2 linked regions of the Astyanax mexicanus genome follow. The protein of the gene in region 1 interacts with the protein of each later gene in a pairwise test. Links are inferred from orthologs where the notes say so. Each region holds a gene or a part of one and is shown on either strand. Other genes may lie near its edges.

Evidence for each region. The genes of interacting proteins can lie anywhere in the genome.
Region 2: the proteins of epn2 (region 1) and wbp2 interact in binary tests that used the Homo sapiens proteins (3 or more experiments, as listed by UniProt). The link is inferred for Astyanax mexicanus from reciprocal best matches to the Homo sapiens genes EPN2 and WBP2.

Annotation. Positions count from the first base shown.
Region 1 is NC_064410.1:53,700,556-53,708,462, forward strand, and holds the start of epn2 (epsin-2), read left to right. Parts: upstream 1-4,265; 5' UTR 4,266-4,551; intron 4,552-4,565; exon of another isoform or gene 4,566-4,628; intron 4,629-6,614; exon of another isoform or gene 6,615-6,715; intron 6,716-7,907. UniProt on the Homo sapiens protein: Plays a role in the formation of clathrin-coated invaginations and endocytosis.
Region 2 is NC_064422.1:14,046,011-14,053,707, forward strand, and holds the start of wbp2 (WW domain-binding protein 2), read left to right. Parts: upstream 1-4,317; 5' UTR 4,318-4,487; coding exon 4,488-4,546; intron 4,547-6,183; coding exon 6,184-6,292; intron 6,293-7,015; coding exon 7,016-7,151; intron 7,152-7,583; coding exon 7,584-7,676; intron 7,677-7,697. UniProt on the Homo sapiens protein: Acts as a transcriptional coactivator of estrogen and progesterone receptors (ESR1 and PGR) upon hormone activation. In presence of estrogen, binds to ESR1-responsive promoters. Synergizes with YAP1 to enhance PGR activity.

The DNA.
Region 1 (7,907 bases):
TTCATTGGCTTTGGTAACATCATGAATTTATTGAGCGTTGATAATAGCTTTTAAGCACTGCACTGCAATGCTAAGGCTTTTTACCAGACAAAAATAATCAGTTGCTTTATTGTTTAATATATTACTAGTGTGTACTCGCACCTACAGAGATATTGGTAGGCTATTTACATGTTGATATATGCAGCAGAAATATTGCTAGGTGGATCATTTATTAAGTCTAAGCACTGTTTCTCTTTCAGCTCTGCTGTGTTAGTAGACAATAGGCTATAGCACACGCACTGAACCAAAATAATAACTTACTTATAACTTAAAATAAATCTCTCTCTCTCTCTTGAACCAACATACCAACGTAAGGGGGAGTTTCTAAGACCGGTTAATGTCGATATCTAACCTTACGCGGCTCATAATTACCTTTATTCTTACAGCAGCAGCCGCCTGGTTGGTAACTTGCTAAGCTAACGGCTTCACGTGAGCCTACAGACATCAGCAGCAGCTGTGTGGAGAGGACTACATTAACTTTAATTACACTTAGCATAACAAGCAAACTCTGTTCACCTTTGGGAAAGAAAGCCGTCAATAGCTGCCTCCCCTCACTCTGCCTTCTTTCTTTCTTCTTCTGATAACCTGATTTCTGTTTTAGGGGCAGCATGAAGTCTCTAGCCCCCCAGGTCATTTAATCTGGGCTCACTGACGGTACACCTGTAGCCGGGTCGCTGTCGGGCGGACCAAACCATCTTGCGCCTCCAGGAGGGGGCTCCCAGAATGTCCCATATGTTGAGAGGACTGTAACTAAAGTTAATTCTCTCAGTAGATGTTATCAATAATTTTTGATAGATTAATTAATAAATAGTTAATTAGAGGGCCCAATTCAATAATAAAAATACCACTTAAAAATAAATGAATAAATCAGGATTTTTATGGGCCCCTCTCCCTACTTGGGCCCTGGGTAGTCAGGTCCATTTTTCCCCCCACTACCACGCCCATGCCCAGGCCCAACACATTTTAGAGGATTGCCTGTTTTAACACACCCACTATAGGTCTAATAGGACTAGGTGATGAGTTGATTAGTTAAATCAGGTGTGTTGGGAGCAGGAGAAGCCATAAACATGCAGGGCAGGGAGACACCAGTACCAGGATTGAACAACCATCAACTAGAGTTCACTAATGCCAGTGTTGCAGACTACTTCAAACATATTTTTTTTTTTTTTACCTCTGATTAATTCTAGTACCTGTATTACAGCAACTATATAGGACCAGAGCTACAAAGAAACACAGTGGGCATATACAACTCCACACTATACACTACACCTACTCATTTATACACTTCTACAGATCACCTATGTGATGCAGCCCTCTACTGATCAACAGCAGTAAATGCAGCTACAGACCTGCAGCTTCCTGATCAGAGTGAACCGGTTCCTATACCACACTGGACTAAATCCAAGACTGCCATCTGCTATTTCCATAATAACACACTGCATGAGCAAGTAATGCATAAAAACAGCATTAAGTGTATAATGAACAACACTACAAGCAAAAGAGTCTAAAATAAGCAATCCTGGATAATAAAAACTCCAGCATCCCATCTGGAACTCACAGTGCCCTCCATAATTATTGGCACCACTGGTTAAGATGTGTTCTTTAGCTTTCTCTTTCTTCATCGTGGTCCTATATTATTGATTTTTTTCTAAATAATATAGGACCATGATGAAAAAAAAGAGTAAGCTAAAGAACACATCTTAACCAGGGGTGCCAATAATTATGGAGGGCACTGTAATCAGCATCATATCACGGTTAAATCAAAATAGCATTATGTTTCGATCAATGTGTTACTGTTCAACATAATAACAGTAATAAACTACAAATTATGTTCCCTTTTTATTCAACATTGTATGATTCTACAAAGGTTTAGTAAATATGAATAAAATATTAATAAATATTTATTGTGACATTGTTTTTGCATGCCAGATATTTTATATGTATTAAAAGAAGCACACAGTGTGCAGAATAAAGCTAATGTACTGTTATTATTCTTAAAACTGTGCAGATACTGTATGTGTGACTGCCCAAGTGAAAAGGTAGACTCAAGTATACTCAACTTATGCTATATTATGCTACAGTGTGCTAATGATTAAGAGTGCTAAAATGAACTACTTTCATTTACCAAAAAATACAAAAGCTTTTATTGTACTAAATTGAACTATTTACATATATTTAGGTAGACTTTAAACATATTACTGTATATATATTTAAATAAAGAAATAATAGACATATATTAAAACAAGACATCAAATATTCATATTTACATCCCTACACCAACACATATCATCAACTTGTTTGCCAGTTGGTATGATTTTCTGACTTTGTTGTTCTTATAAGGTGATGAAGTGTGAGGTGAGCTTTTCTGTTCTTCTTGGTTAGCAGTGCCTTTAATATTTTGCACCTCTTTACCGGGGACCAATTTTTCTCAGTCTCTTTCTAATAGTGGAATCACAAACACTGGCCTTATCTGAGGCATTCAAGGCCTGTGAGATATACTTAGAAGTTTGTCTGGGATATTCTGAGGCTTCCGGGATAGGTCCTTACTGCACTATTGGGGGAATTTTGGTAGTCCAGCCACTTCTGGGAAGATTCACCACTGCAACAGATTTTCCCCCCTTGAAATGAATGGCTCACACTGTGGTTTGCTGAAGCCCCAGAGTCTTAGAAATGGCTTTGTAACCATTCCACATTGATAGAAATGTTCTTCCAGAATGTATTAGTAATAATGTGCAGCTTGTTGAGGCCTTTTATTTTACATAACTGGAAAATAGAAACCAAAACTAAGTTATGATTTAATGCAAATAGGCTCTAGTAATAAAGCATTAATGTTTCTAGTTTAATTATTCTTAGCAATTAATGTTTAATCAAACGCAATTAATTGAATTTTGTTTCAAAATTCTTACCATCACTAAGTCATTTAAAACTATCAAACAAATGATCCATTTCTGTAATACTAAAGGTCTTAATTTTGACTTTGTATAGATTAACTAATTTACCTAATTTTGCATTTACTCATTGTTTTTGTCTTTTAAATGTCAGGGCTCTCGAAATTATACCAATAAAATGTGAGCTACTTTGAGCTTGTTAATGCCTTCTCCAGCACATCTCAAAGATTCTCAATGGGGTTAAGGTCTGGACTCTGTGGTGAACAATGCATGTGTAAAAATGATCTCATGCTCCCTGAATCACTCTTTCACAATTCCAGCCCCATGAACCCTGCCATTGTCATCTTGGTATAACCTGTGCCATCAGGGAAGAAAAAAATCCACTGATGAATTAACCTGGTCTATATTCAGTATATTTAGGTAGTCAGCTGACCTCATTCTTTCAGCACATACTGTTGCTGAACCTAGACCTGATCAACTGCAGCCACACCAGATCATTTACATAAATTAAGTTAAATCCAGGGTAAGACTGGCCAGGCAGTGTAGTTAGCTCTAATATTCAATGGGACTCTGAGTGGTCTAGCGGGCTAAGCGCTGCCACTATGATCAGGAGATTGCTGGTTCGAAGCCTGTTCATGTAGCTTGCCATCGGCTACTGGAGGGTGATGGCGCTCAGCACAAGGCGTCTGTGAGCTGATGTATTGGAACCGAGTCGCTGCACTTTCCTCCGAGCGCACTGTGATGCTACTTGGCTATGCTGCATCAACAGCAGTTTAAAAAGAGGCAATGGCTGACTTCACTTGTGTGGCATGTGGAGGCATGTGCTAGTCTTCACCCACCTGGTGTTTACTAGTGATAGGGGTAGTCCTAATGAGTGGGCTGTGAAAATTGGATAAAAATTAGATATGAAATTATTTAAAAAAGCTCTGATACTTAATGTTTTATATTCTCTTGGTTGTTTGTCTTACAAGCAGATTGTTTAGATTGTGCTACTTTGTGTTGTATAAGGCGCTTTATAAATAAAGTTTATTTAAAGTCCTATGTTTATTAAAATTGTCTGTCTTGTAAAACTCTTGTAAAAAGCTTCTCACTAAATTTCTCTTTAATTTAAAAGGCTCAGTTGAACCTGTGGGGGGTGATATACACCCACAGACCAGCCTCACTGCTCTCTAAATGAAACTCTGAGAGTTGGATTGATGTAAAGTTTACTGGACAGCATTGAGGGCGTTTCTGAAAGTACATTTACTAGTTACATCGTTCGCCATCTCTGTGGATATGAGATAATTAGTAAAAAAAATACATTTTTTATTGACTTTAGTGTCTGTAGTGTTTCAGTTGGTCACACCCTTTACCGCTCTCTCCCAGTCGATCTATCAGCTACAGTCCGCCATGTTGGTCGGAGTGGGTGTCACTCTTTTACGGATTTCAGAGCTGCTGCTGCCGCCCGCCCGCCTGCCAGCCCTTTACATAAACACTAACACTGCCTTAGCGAGCGGAATAACTCAGTAAAGTTGTGCAAATCTCAGTCAATAACCGATTTTTCCTTTTATACCGGGCCGGTGCGCATGCCGGGCGTTATTCCCGGACGAACACGGAGTCCTGAAGCAACACAGCGAAAGGCTTGGTAAGTTACTGTTTTGTTTTCCAGCTGGTTCCTTGTGCTCCCAACTGCTGCCTGCTCACAAAACCAAATCACACCAGGTTTGAGGCTCTTTAAACCTTTAAAAGGGTTCTCATTCTCACATTATGGAATGAAACATGTTGTTTTCTGGTTATGTTCAAAAAAACATTTGTAGCAGCTTTGTTTAAGCTAGCGAAGAGTGCTGAAAGAGCTAAGTTTAGAGTTTTATACAAAGCAGATCTAGCGTAAGCTAGCACTGCATCTAGTTTGGGATTCTTCAGACCTTTAAAATTGCTTTTATTATCTAGCTGGCTGCTATTAACCACTTAGTTAACCTATTTCATGGAACAAGAAGTTGTTGTTTTGTGTCATTAGCTAAAGAACCATTTGTAGCACCTTTGTTTTTGGGAGTGCTAGCTTAGCTAACTAATTTAGCTAGGTTAAATGAGTTTAAATGGATAGAAAATATTAACGTTACCTCAATCTTTGAGGTTCATCACACCTTTAAGAGTTTCTTTTAATAGCTAACTATAAAGTAACCTCGTCTACAAACATGGTAGTTCTCTAGCTAGGTTAACTAGTTTATTTTTGAAAAATAAGTATTTCTCTGTTGCATTATTTAAAGAGCACCTTTATTTTAAAGTGTGCAGTTTAGCTACTAGTGCTACACATTTTGTCTGGTAATATATTAAAAATAGCTAACAGTCTATTGATCTGTTGGAAAATATTCTGTAAAACATATAACTAACTACAAATGACTGCCGACTCACTCCCAGTTCGGAGACATCTCCACCAAGCACCAGCCAGCCAGCGTTAGCTTGCTGGTTTAGCTAGCTAGCCTAGCTGTGAACTTGCTTAACTCGTTTTAAAAGGCGCAGATAAGTAATTAGACAGCTAGTTAGCTAGCTGATATTTAGCTAGATATATAGATTATTTATTTATTTATTTAACTCGTTAGTTGCTTATTTAACTAGTTAGTTAAATGAAATAGCTTGTAGGTTTAAATCTGGCAGTAAAAGAACTACAATTAACTAACTAGCTAGCTTAAGTAACACAGCTGACTAGCTAAGCTATGTTGGCTAACTGAATCGACGCTATTTATACAGATATGAATATAAATAGCCATTAGCTAATTAACGTTTTCTCCTCTGTTTTATGAATTAGTTAAAATGTCAAATATTCTTAAAGATTAAAGAAAATTCACATGTAGTTCCTTTTTATCTTAAAATTCCGATAATACAGCAACTACTGTTAGCTGGCTAGCGTTAGCGGTTTAGCCGCTTCGAGAACTTCTCGTGCTGGCTAAAGTGTAAGCTTAGCTTAGCTAGCTTCATACTTGTTTATTTGCTAGCCAACGAATAGCTATGAACTTTGCTTAGCTAAATTAGTTATCTAAATGTTTTGAATAAAATATTTCTTTAAAATAAATATTTACTCATTTTACTATTAGCCTGTAAACTGTTGTAAACTGTTGTGCTGGCTTAGCTTAATATAACAAAGCTAGCTTTAGCTAAGGTAGTTAGCCTGCTACTTAAGCTAAGGGTGTTAACTAGTTACCTTTTAGATTTTATAGTAATTTAAAATGCAATGGGTAGCGATTTAATTTGAACGGTGAATGTTTGCCAACTTTACTAAATCGTCAGATTAGTTTTTTGGTGAGTTTAATAACTTTTTAATGTGACTTTTATCCAGACATGTAGACAGCTAGCTAGGTTAGCAAGCTATGCTGCATTGGATGTTAGCTACGTAGTGATGAGTGAGCTGTTTTCTTAGTGCTGTGGCTGGACCAGTTGCTTATCTTTATCTATTATTAATGTATTAGCTAATATAACTACAATATTACATATTACATATGTTTTATGTTTATTAACTTAAATATTATCTTTTTAGAACTTTGTGCAGGCAGACCTGCTCATTAAATCAGCTTTAACTTGTTTTTGTTCAGTTAGTAGCGTTTTAGTGGGTAGGGTTGGGTGATAATGTCTAGAATTTACATAACAGTACTTCTTATTTCAGTTAATTTGATATAATTATGCTATCAATTAAACACGTGCAGTATAAAATCTACAGAAAAAAAACTTCCAAGGACCACAACAGACGTCTGAAAACTGAATTTGCCAATTCATGCAATGCATCCCATAATAAACATTAGCCAGCGACAGATACTGTAAGTAACATATTTTTGAAATGTTGAAATTTATTATTGAGACATTTTTGTATTGTGATTTATTGATATTAAGTTATTGTCCAGCCCTAGTTTTATTACTAGCTTAGTGAAACACAGTGGCATTAGGACGCTATTCTCAATTATTGCCAAGTTATTTACACTAAAGTGCATTAAAGTGGTTTTGTTGTGAATTTGCCTGGCCTGTCTACATGTCACTAGGTGGACACACCCATGTATGAAGGATATTTTTCTGTTGCGTGACCATTGATTTGTGACACATGCTTGTTCAACTCGATCCCATCCCTCGCTGGCTCGCATTGTTTTACATGACATACAGGGTCTTGGGGAAGACAATCGGGTAAGAGGTGCTTTTGTGATGCAGAGGGAGATTAACTGTGGATACTGAAACCACAGTTATTTGAAAAAGGGGGGACACTTTTCTGTCCTTTTTGTAAACATTTTTATCCTATAGACATTTGGTGGTCATCTGTATCAGCTGTGGTAAGAGCTACCTGTAGATCCTGTGATGACATTTTCAGATTGTTGGAGATATCTTGTTATTCCAGCTTGTTGGTGCATTCCAGTACATTGTTTTAACTTTGAACATGAATAAATTCTGATCTCTGGAAACAAATGAAATGCAGCATTATTTAAAGCACAGACATTTAGTTTAGTTTGTTTACCTTGTTCTTGTTTGGTAAAGGGAGTAAATCATTATAGCAAGATCAAAAGATGACTGAAAACAACTAGATATCAGTAATTTAGGTGTCTGCTAAATTATTTACATATGAAACAACTGCCAAAATGACCAGACCATGATGTCCCTACAAGATCAGCCCAAGAGATACATGAAAAAAACTCAAACAAACTTAATATCATTGTGGGACCTACAGGTAGCTCATACCGCAACCGGTGTCAAAGTAAAGAATCTACCATCAGATAGAGTGACTTTTTAAGGGTGGCTGTACAAGGAGGGAATTCTTGCTGTTGATACAAAACATTAGGACTAGACCCAAGATTATTCTTTTCAAAGCATATTGTTCCAGAAGGATTTTTTTGAAGCATTTCTTCAGTTTTAGGTGTTCAATTATTTTACCTTAATCTTGTACTGGGCAATAATTAAATATCAATATATATTGTGATAGAAACGGTCACAGTAAAGATTATAGGATTATTATATAATTATTGTGGT
Region 2 (7,697 bases), on another chromosome or scaffold:
GGTATATGCTTCTTCAGCGTCGCAAGGTTATTTAACATAATTCTTAACAGATTTCGCTAATTCAAACAGCCCGAAAATGTTTTAAATAGCTCAATTTTAACGCTCTAATTACTAAAAAATGGCTCGGGTTCAGAAGGACAGTTTATGGCTCAGGTCGGGTCTGGCTCAAGCAGAAAGTGCATGGATTTGGGCCGGGTCGGGCTGGATTTTTGGGCCCGATCTAAGCTCTACCGCTCCACACACTGCAGGCGTTTTGCACTGCGGTCAAGCCAGCCCCCACTTCAAAACGCTTGGTCAAACTAGCCCCCACGCTGTTTCTTAGAGCGCGCATACACTGAACATTGCGGCAAGCGTGAGAAGGAACACATTTCAAAATAAAAGTCCCCCCCTTAATATCACGACATTATGCTGTGGAGTGGTATTAAAAGGAATCCACATAATATCACATGTTATGTCTGATATCACATGTCAATTTCATGTAGTCCTGGTAGTACACAAAATAAAAGCCCTGTAAATTATAACAATTATGTTAATTAAATAATACTAATACTAATAATAATAATACTAACAATACTACTACTAATAATAATAATACTTGTATGTGTCACTCACTTAATAGCAGGGCATTATAATGTGTCATTTCAAAATAAAGGCCATTTAAATTGTAACATTTATGTAATTTTACACAATGTTTAGACTGTTATTAAAAGAAATCTGTCTGATATCACAGCTCAATTTCATATAGTCCTGATAGTACACTCCTTGTATGTTTCACTCACTTAATATCAGAAGATTTTGATGTGTCATTTCAAAATAAAGGCCCTTTAAATTATAACATTTATGTAATTTTACACAATATTTAGACTGTTCTTAAAATAAATCTGTCTGATATCACAGTTCAATTTCATATAGTCCTGATAGTACACTACTTGTATGTGTCACTCACTTAATAACAGAACATTTTGATGTGTCATTTCAAAATAAAGGCCCTTTAAATTGTAACATTTATGTAATTTTACACAATATTTAGACTGTTATTAAAAGAAATCTGTCTGATATCACAGTTCAATTTTATATAGTCCTGATAGTACACTACTTGTATGTTTAACTCAATTACTATCAGAACATTTTGATGTGTCATTTTAAAATAAAAGCCCTTTAAATTGTAACATTTATGTAATTTTACACAATGTTTAGACTGTTATTAAAAGAAATCTGTCTGATATCACAGTTCAATTCCATATAGTCCTGATAGAACACTACTTGTATGTTTCACTCACTTAAAATCAGAACATTTTGATGTGTCATTTCAAAATAAGGGCCATTTAAATTGTAACATTTATGTAATTTTACACAATGTTTAGACTGTTATTAAAAGAAATCTGTCTGATATCACAGTTCAATTTCATATAGTCCTGATAGTACACTACTTATATGTTTCACTCACTTAAAATCAGAACATTTTGATGTGTCATTTCAAAATAAGGGCCATTTAAATTGTAACATTTATGTAATTTTACACAATGTTTAGACTGTTATTAAAAGAAATTTGTCTGATATCACAGGTCAATTTCAGATAGTCCTGATAGTACACTACTTGTATGTTTCACTCAATTACTATCAGAACATTTTGATGTGTCATTTTTAAATAAAGGCCCTTTAAATTATAACATTTATGTAATTTTACACAATATTTAGACTGTTCTTAAAATAAATCTGTCTGATATCACAGTTCAATTTCATATAGTCCTGATAGTACACTACTTGTATGTGTCACTCACTTAATAACAGAACATTTTGATGTGTCATTTCAAAATAAAGGCCCTTTAAATTGTAACATTTATGTAATTTTATACAATGTTTAGACTGTTATTAAAAGAAGTCTGTCTGATATCACAGTTCAATTTCATATAGTCCTGATAGTACACTACTTGTATGTTTCACTCAATTACTATCAGAACATTTTGATGTGTCATCTTAAAATAAAAGCCCTTTAAATTGTAACATTTATGTAATTTTACACAATGTTTAGACTGTTATTAAAAGAAATCTGTCTGATATCACAGTTCAATTTCATATAGTCCTGATAGTACACTACTTGTATGTTTCACTCACTTAAAATCAGAACATTTTGATGTGTCATTTCAAAACAAAGGCCCTTTAAATTATAACAATATTTTATTTCAACACAATGTTTAGACTGTTATTAAAAGAAATCTGTCTGATATCACAGGTCAATATCATATAGTCCTGATAGTACACTACTTGTATGTGTCACTCACTTAATAACATAACATTTTGATGTGTCATTTCAAAATAAAGGCCTTTTAAATTATAACAATATTTTTATTTTAACACAAGTTTTGACTGTTATTAAAATGAATCTGTGTGATATCACAGGTCAATTTCATATTTCATTTCATAATTTAAAGGGCCTTTATTTTGAAATGACATATCAAAATGTTCTGATATTAAGTGAGTGAAACATACAAGTAGTGTACTATCAGGACTATATGAAATTGAACTGTGATATCAGACAGATTTCTTTTAATAACAGTCTAAACATTGTGTAAAATTACATAAATGTTACAATTTAAAGGGCCTTTATTTTGAAATGACACATCAAAATGTTCTGTTATTAAGTGAGTGACACATTCAAGTAGTGTACTATCAGGACTATATGAAATTGAACTGTGATATCAGACAGATTTATTTTAAGAACAGTCTAAATATTGTGTAAAATTACATAAATGTTATAATTTAAAGGGCCTTTATTTTGAAATGACACATCAAAATGTTCTGATATTAAGTGAGTGAAACATACAAGTAGTGTACTATCAGGACTATATGAAATTGAACTGTGATATCAGACAGATTTCTTTTAATAACAGTCTAAACATTGTGTAAAATTACATAAATGTTACAATTTAAATGGCCCTTATTTTGAAATGACACATCAAAATGTTCTGATTTTAAGTGAGTGAAACATACAAGTAGTGTACTATCAGGACTATATGAAATTGAACTGTGATATCAGACAGATTTCTTTTAATAACAGTCTAAACATTGTGTAAAATTACATATGTTACAATTTAAAGGGCTTTTATTTTAAAATGACACATCAAAATGTTCTGATAGTAATTGAGTGAAACATACAAGTAGTGTACTATCAGGACTATATGAAATTGAACTGTGATATCAGACAGATTTCTTTTAATAACAGTCTAAACATTGTGTAAAATTACATAAATGTTACAATTTAAAGGGCCTTTATTTTGAAATGACACATCAAAATGTTCTGTTATTAAGTGAGTGACACATACAAGTAGTGTACTATCAGGACTATATGAAATTGAACTGTGATATCAGACAGATTTATTTTAAGAACAGTCTAAATATTGTGTAAAATTACATAAATGTTATAATTTAAAGGGCCTTTATTTTGAAATGACATATCAAAATCTTCTGATATTAAGTGAGTGAAACATACAAGTAGTGTACTATCAGGACTATATGAAATTGACCCGTGATATCAGACAGATTTATTTTAATAACAGTCTAAACATTGTGTAAAATTACATAAATGTTACAATTTAAATGGCCCTTATTTTGAAATGACACATCAAAATGTTCTGATTTTAAGTGAGTGAAACATACAAGTGGTGTACTATCAGGGCTATATAAAATTGAGCTGTGATATCAGACAGATTCCTTTTAATAACAGTCTAAACATTGTGTAAAATTACATAAATGTTAAAATTTAAAGGGCCTTTATTTTGAAATGACACATTATAATGCCCTGCTATTAAGTGAGTGACACATACAAGTATTATTATTAGTAGTAGTAGTATTGTTAGTATTATTATTATTAGTATTATTATTATTTAATTAACATAATTGTTATAATTTACAGGGCTTTTATTTTGTGTACTACCAGGACTACATGAAATTGACATGTGATATCAGACATAACATGTGATATTATGTGGATTCCTTTTAATACCACTCCACAGCATAATGTCGTGATATTAAGGGGGGGACTTTTATTTTGAAATGTGTTCCTTCTCACACTTCTTAACACTTTATTACTAAATTATTTCATTTTAAAACGACTTTATGGTGTGTCCAGATTTTTGACTTGTACTCTATAATTTATATATTTTTTTATATTAAGGTGTGTGTTGCTGTTTTATAACTATAATATTCAACAATATGACTTTATATATTAAAAAACACAGCTCCACTGTTAAATAGATAATCCAATCCGATCAGAATCGATTCAGAAAGATTCGGAACCTTCAGGAAAGTTCCGTGTCCTTTAAAGACGCGCGCTGCGTCAGGGAGGGGCGGTACTCCGCGGGACGGTGCGGGCTGCGGGAGCTGCAGGTGCGGTTATCTCTAATCACCAGTATCGGAAACTGATCGATCAGATCCACCGATCAGCAGCAGAGAGATCTCCAACAGCGCGTGAATGAGAAGAACCCAGAATGACCCTGAATCAGAACCATTCCGAGTCCGGGGGAGTCATCATCAACAACAGCGAGAGGTACCGGTGTTCTGTCTGATTCTGCTACCTTGTTAAACCGTGTTCCCCTAGTGTATATTTACCTGTAAAAATACAAGAGAAGCACCATATTACAGCATGTTAAAAGCAGGAGTCCCAGTAGATGTAGTTACTATATTTGAAAAGCATAAATTACTGTGTCGTGGTAAAGTTCACTACTAACGTGTTTTTGTTTGTTTATAATTATATTAATACCATAATACAATAATAATTATTGCATTCAAATTTTATAATTTCCATTTACGCTTTTGTGCAATAACAGTGAGTCCAGGTTGTTTAATGCATTGAAAAACACGAGAAATAATCTAAAAGTATAGGTCAGCGCATGCGCAGTGCCTTTAGGAAGCACGTATCGACGGGTAGAATACCTCGACAAAACACCGGCCTTCGCGCTCACTCACAGCTCTCCTCTCCACCTTAAACACCAGCAGCCTCCGCGCGCTCACTCACAACTCTCCGTTCCACCAGCAGCCTCCGCGCGCTCACTCACAACTCTCCGTTCCACCTTAAACACCAGCAGCCTCCGCGCGCTCACTCACAACTCTCCGTTCCATCTTAAACACCGGCCTCCGCGCGCTCACTCACAGCACTCCGCACTCCTCCACAAATGACTTCGCTGTGAGGGGCTGGTATGATCAGCTGCACCGTTTAAGGTGGAACGGAGAGTTCGAAGATGATTATATTTAATCGTTGGTGTGACGGAGGATATTTGACACAGATTAAAAGCTCCAGTAAATGTTTACCTTCCGTCTGCACATCAACATTTATTAAAACAAACTTATTTAAACACTTTAAATAAACAAACAGCTAAAAAACGAGAGTAGATAGGCAGTGTCCACACAGCTACAGTTACCTGAGCTAAATAAAGATAATTCTAGGCCCTGTATAGACAATGCGTTCCATTAATTTAAACTTTTAGTTCTATTAATTTTGTTTTGTTCTATATATATATATATATATATATATATATATATATATATATATATATATATATATATATATATATATATATATATACTGCAAATAGAAAAAATGTGTTTATATATAACTTACTGCAAATAGAAAAAAATGTGTGTATGTATTTCTGTATATAAACTTCATTTCTACCTTTTCAAGATACATTCTGATAAATCATGTCATGTAGGATGAAACAGCCAAAATTTGAGTTAATTCTGTTAACAATATGAACAAAAACGCCACAAAACCAAATCGCTGTAAGTAATGTATAATAACATATCTCTATTAAAACATTTTCTATTGTGATATATAAATATTTATTTACCACATCAGTCATATGCAAAATTAAAAAGCCTGTTAGCAGTATGTGAAACACTGGTATTAGAATAAATACAAATAACATTCAGACAAACAGAAAGAGAGAGATGCCCATTCCCATCTTCACTGGGTCACAGAGTCACTAAGCTTCTTAAGTCTTCAGTGATGTAAGACTGTAAGACTGTGGACATTTACACAGTTCTTTGTGACTTTGTAGGTCTAATTTTAGATTTGCTCAGTGTGTTTTATCTTCTTGTCTTCATTTATTAAGTGTAAATCTGCTCTGTTGTGTAAAACAATCTCGCTCTACCAGCAGAGTAAAACACCACTGTTCTCCTTCACAGTGTTCTGATGTCCTATGAAAACGTGGAGCTGTCGTTCAGTGATGCTGATCGTTTACCAGAGCTGTTCAAGAAGAGCAAGAAGGGGAGCATCTATCTCACTCCGTACAGGGTGAGTCTGAAAAGAGATAAAAGATATTCTTTAACTAATCAGATGTCAGTTACCAGAGAACACTGAGACAAAGTCCAGTACCCGGTTGCATAAACACCATACGATTTTCACTTAAGTATAAAAAAATGGACAAAAGGGAATTACTTAAGTGTGTTACACAAAAACCCTCAGATATTTAATTAACTAGGAGTAAATAGATTTACTGCAGTGACTAATGTTTTACTGTGGTAAGTTCCACTTTAATCACAACAATGACTTATCAGCGATAATGAATGTTAACTTTGTGATTTTGGTGCTTTTAAAACCTCTTCAATGAATTATTCAACACCCCCCCCCCCCCGCTCACTCTTTCAGACGTGAACATGAAAACAATGATTTTTGCAATTGAGTTTACGCGTATATTATTCACATTTCTCATGGCTTGGGGTTGCTTTGCTACAGAGGATGGTCTGGCAAGCTTATCATAGGTGAATATGAATTATTTATTGTATCAGAGGTGGTTTGAAGAAAAATGTAAGACCATCCACACAAACTGTAGATAAAGCATCACATCGCTGAAAGAATTCTGCATAGAGGAGTGGGAGTCTGAATAGGTCTGTCCTGGGTAAATAAATTAGGTGAAAGTGTTTGCAGTCAGTAGTCTAATTATAATATTTTATTTTATTCCTTTAAATAGCTTCTCCAGAGCCTTTACAAAAGTTGTGCGGTCTGTTCTTCTATCAGGTAATCTTCGTGACAAAGGGGAAGGATGCTCTTCAGTCCTTCATGATGCCATTCTATCTAATGAAGGGCTGTGAAGTCAAACAGCCTGTTCTTGGAGCCAACTACATAAAGGGTGCGGTGAACGCTGAACCAGGGGGTAAGAACTTACTAAATCTGATTGGAGCATTAAGGTCATCAATAAGCTCTTCAGTGAATTGGATCAGCTTAAACTGGGGAGAAAATTGGTAAAAATGGAAAAAAATTAAATAGTGATGTCAGCTGATGTAGTCCTAGAGTTTAAGAAAACAACATTTACATGTTTCAGTAAAATGTAAAATGCAGTTGTGAATTCAGAATATGTCATTTGTAATTTTTCTTTTTGCCATTGCTTACTTAGTAGAATTGTTGGAGCACACATTTATAAGGCCATTATTAAAATGTTTGTGTGTTATTTTGAGCCATGTGCTGTACAAAAAAAAAAAATTATCCCTAAAGGGGTCTATGCCCCCTGCTTTCTCCTATAATAAAAAAGAAATAGATTGAAGATGATATATCAGTATATCTGAATGCTGTCTTCTTTTTTCCGTAGGTGGTTGGGAGGGATCTGCCACCTTCAAACTCATCTTTATCGCTGGAGGAGCTATCGAGTTTGGGCAGTATATGATGCAGGTGGCAGCTCAGGGTAAATGATTCTTGCTCTACA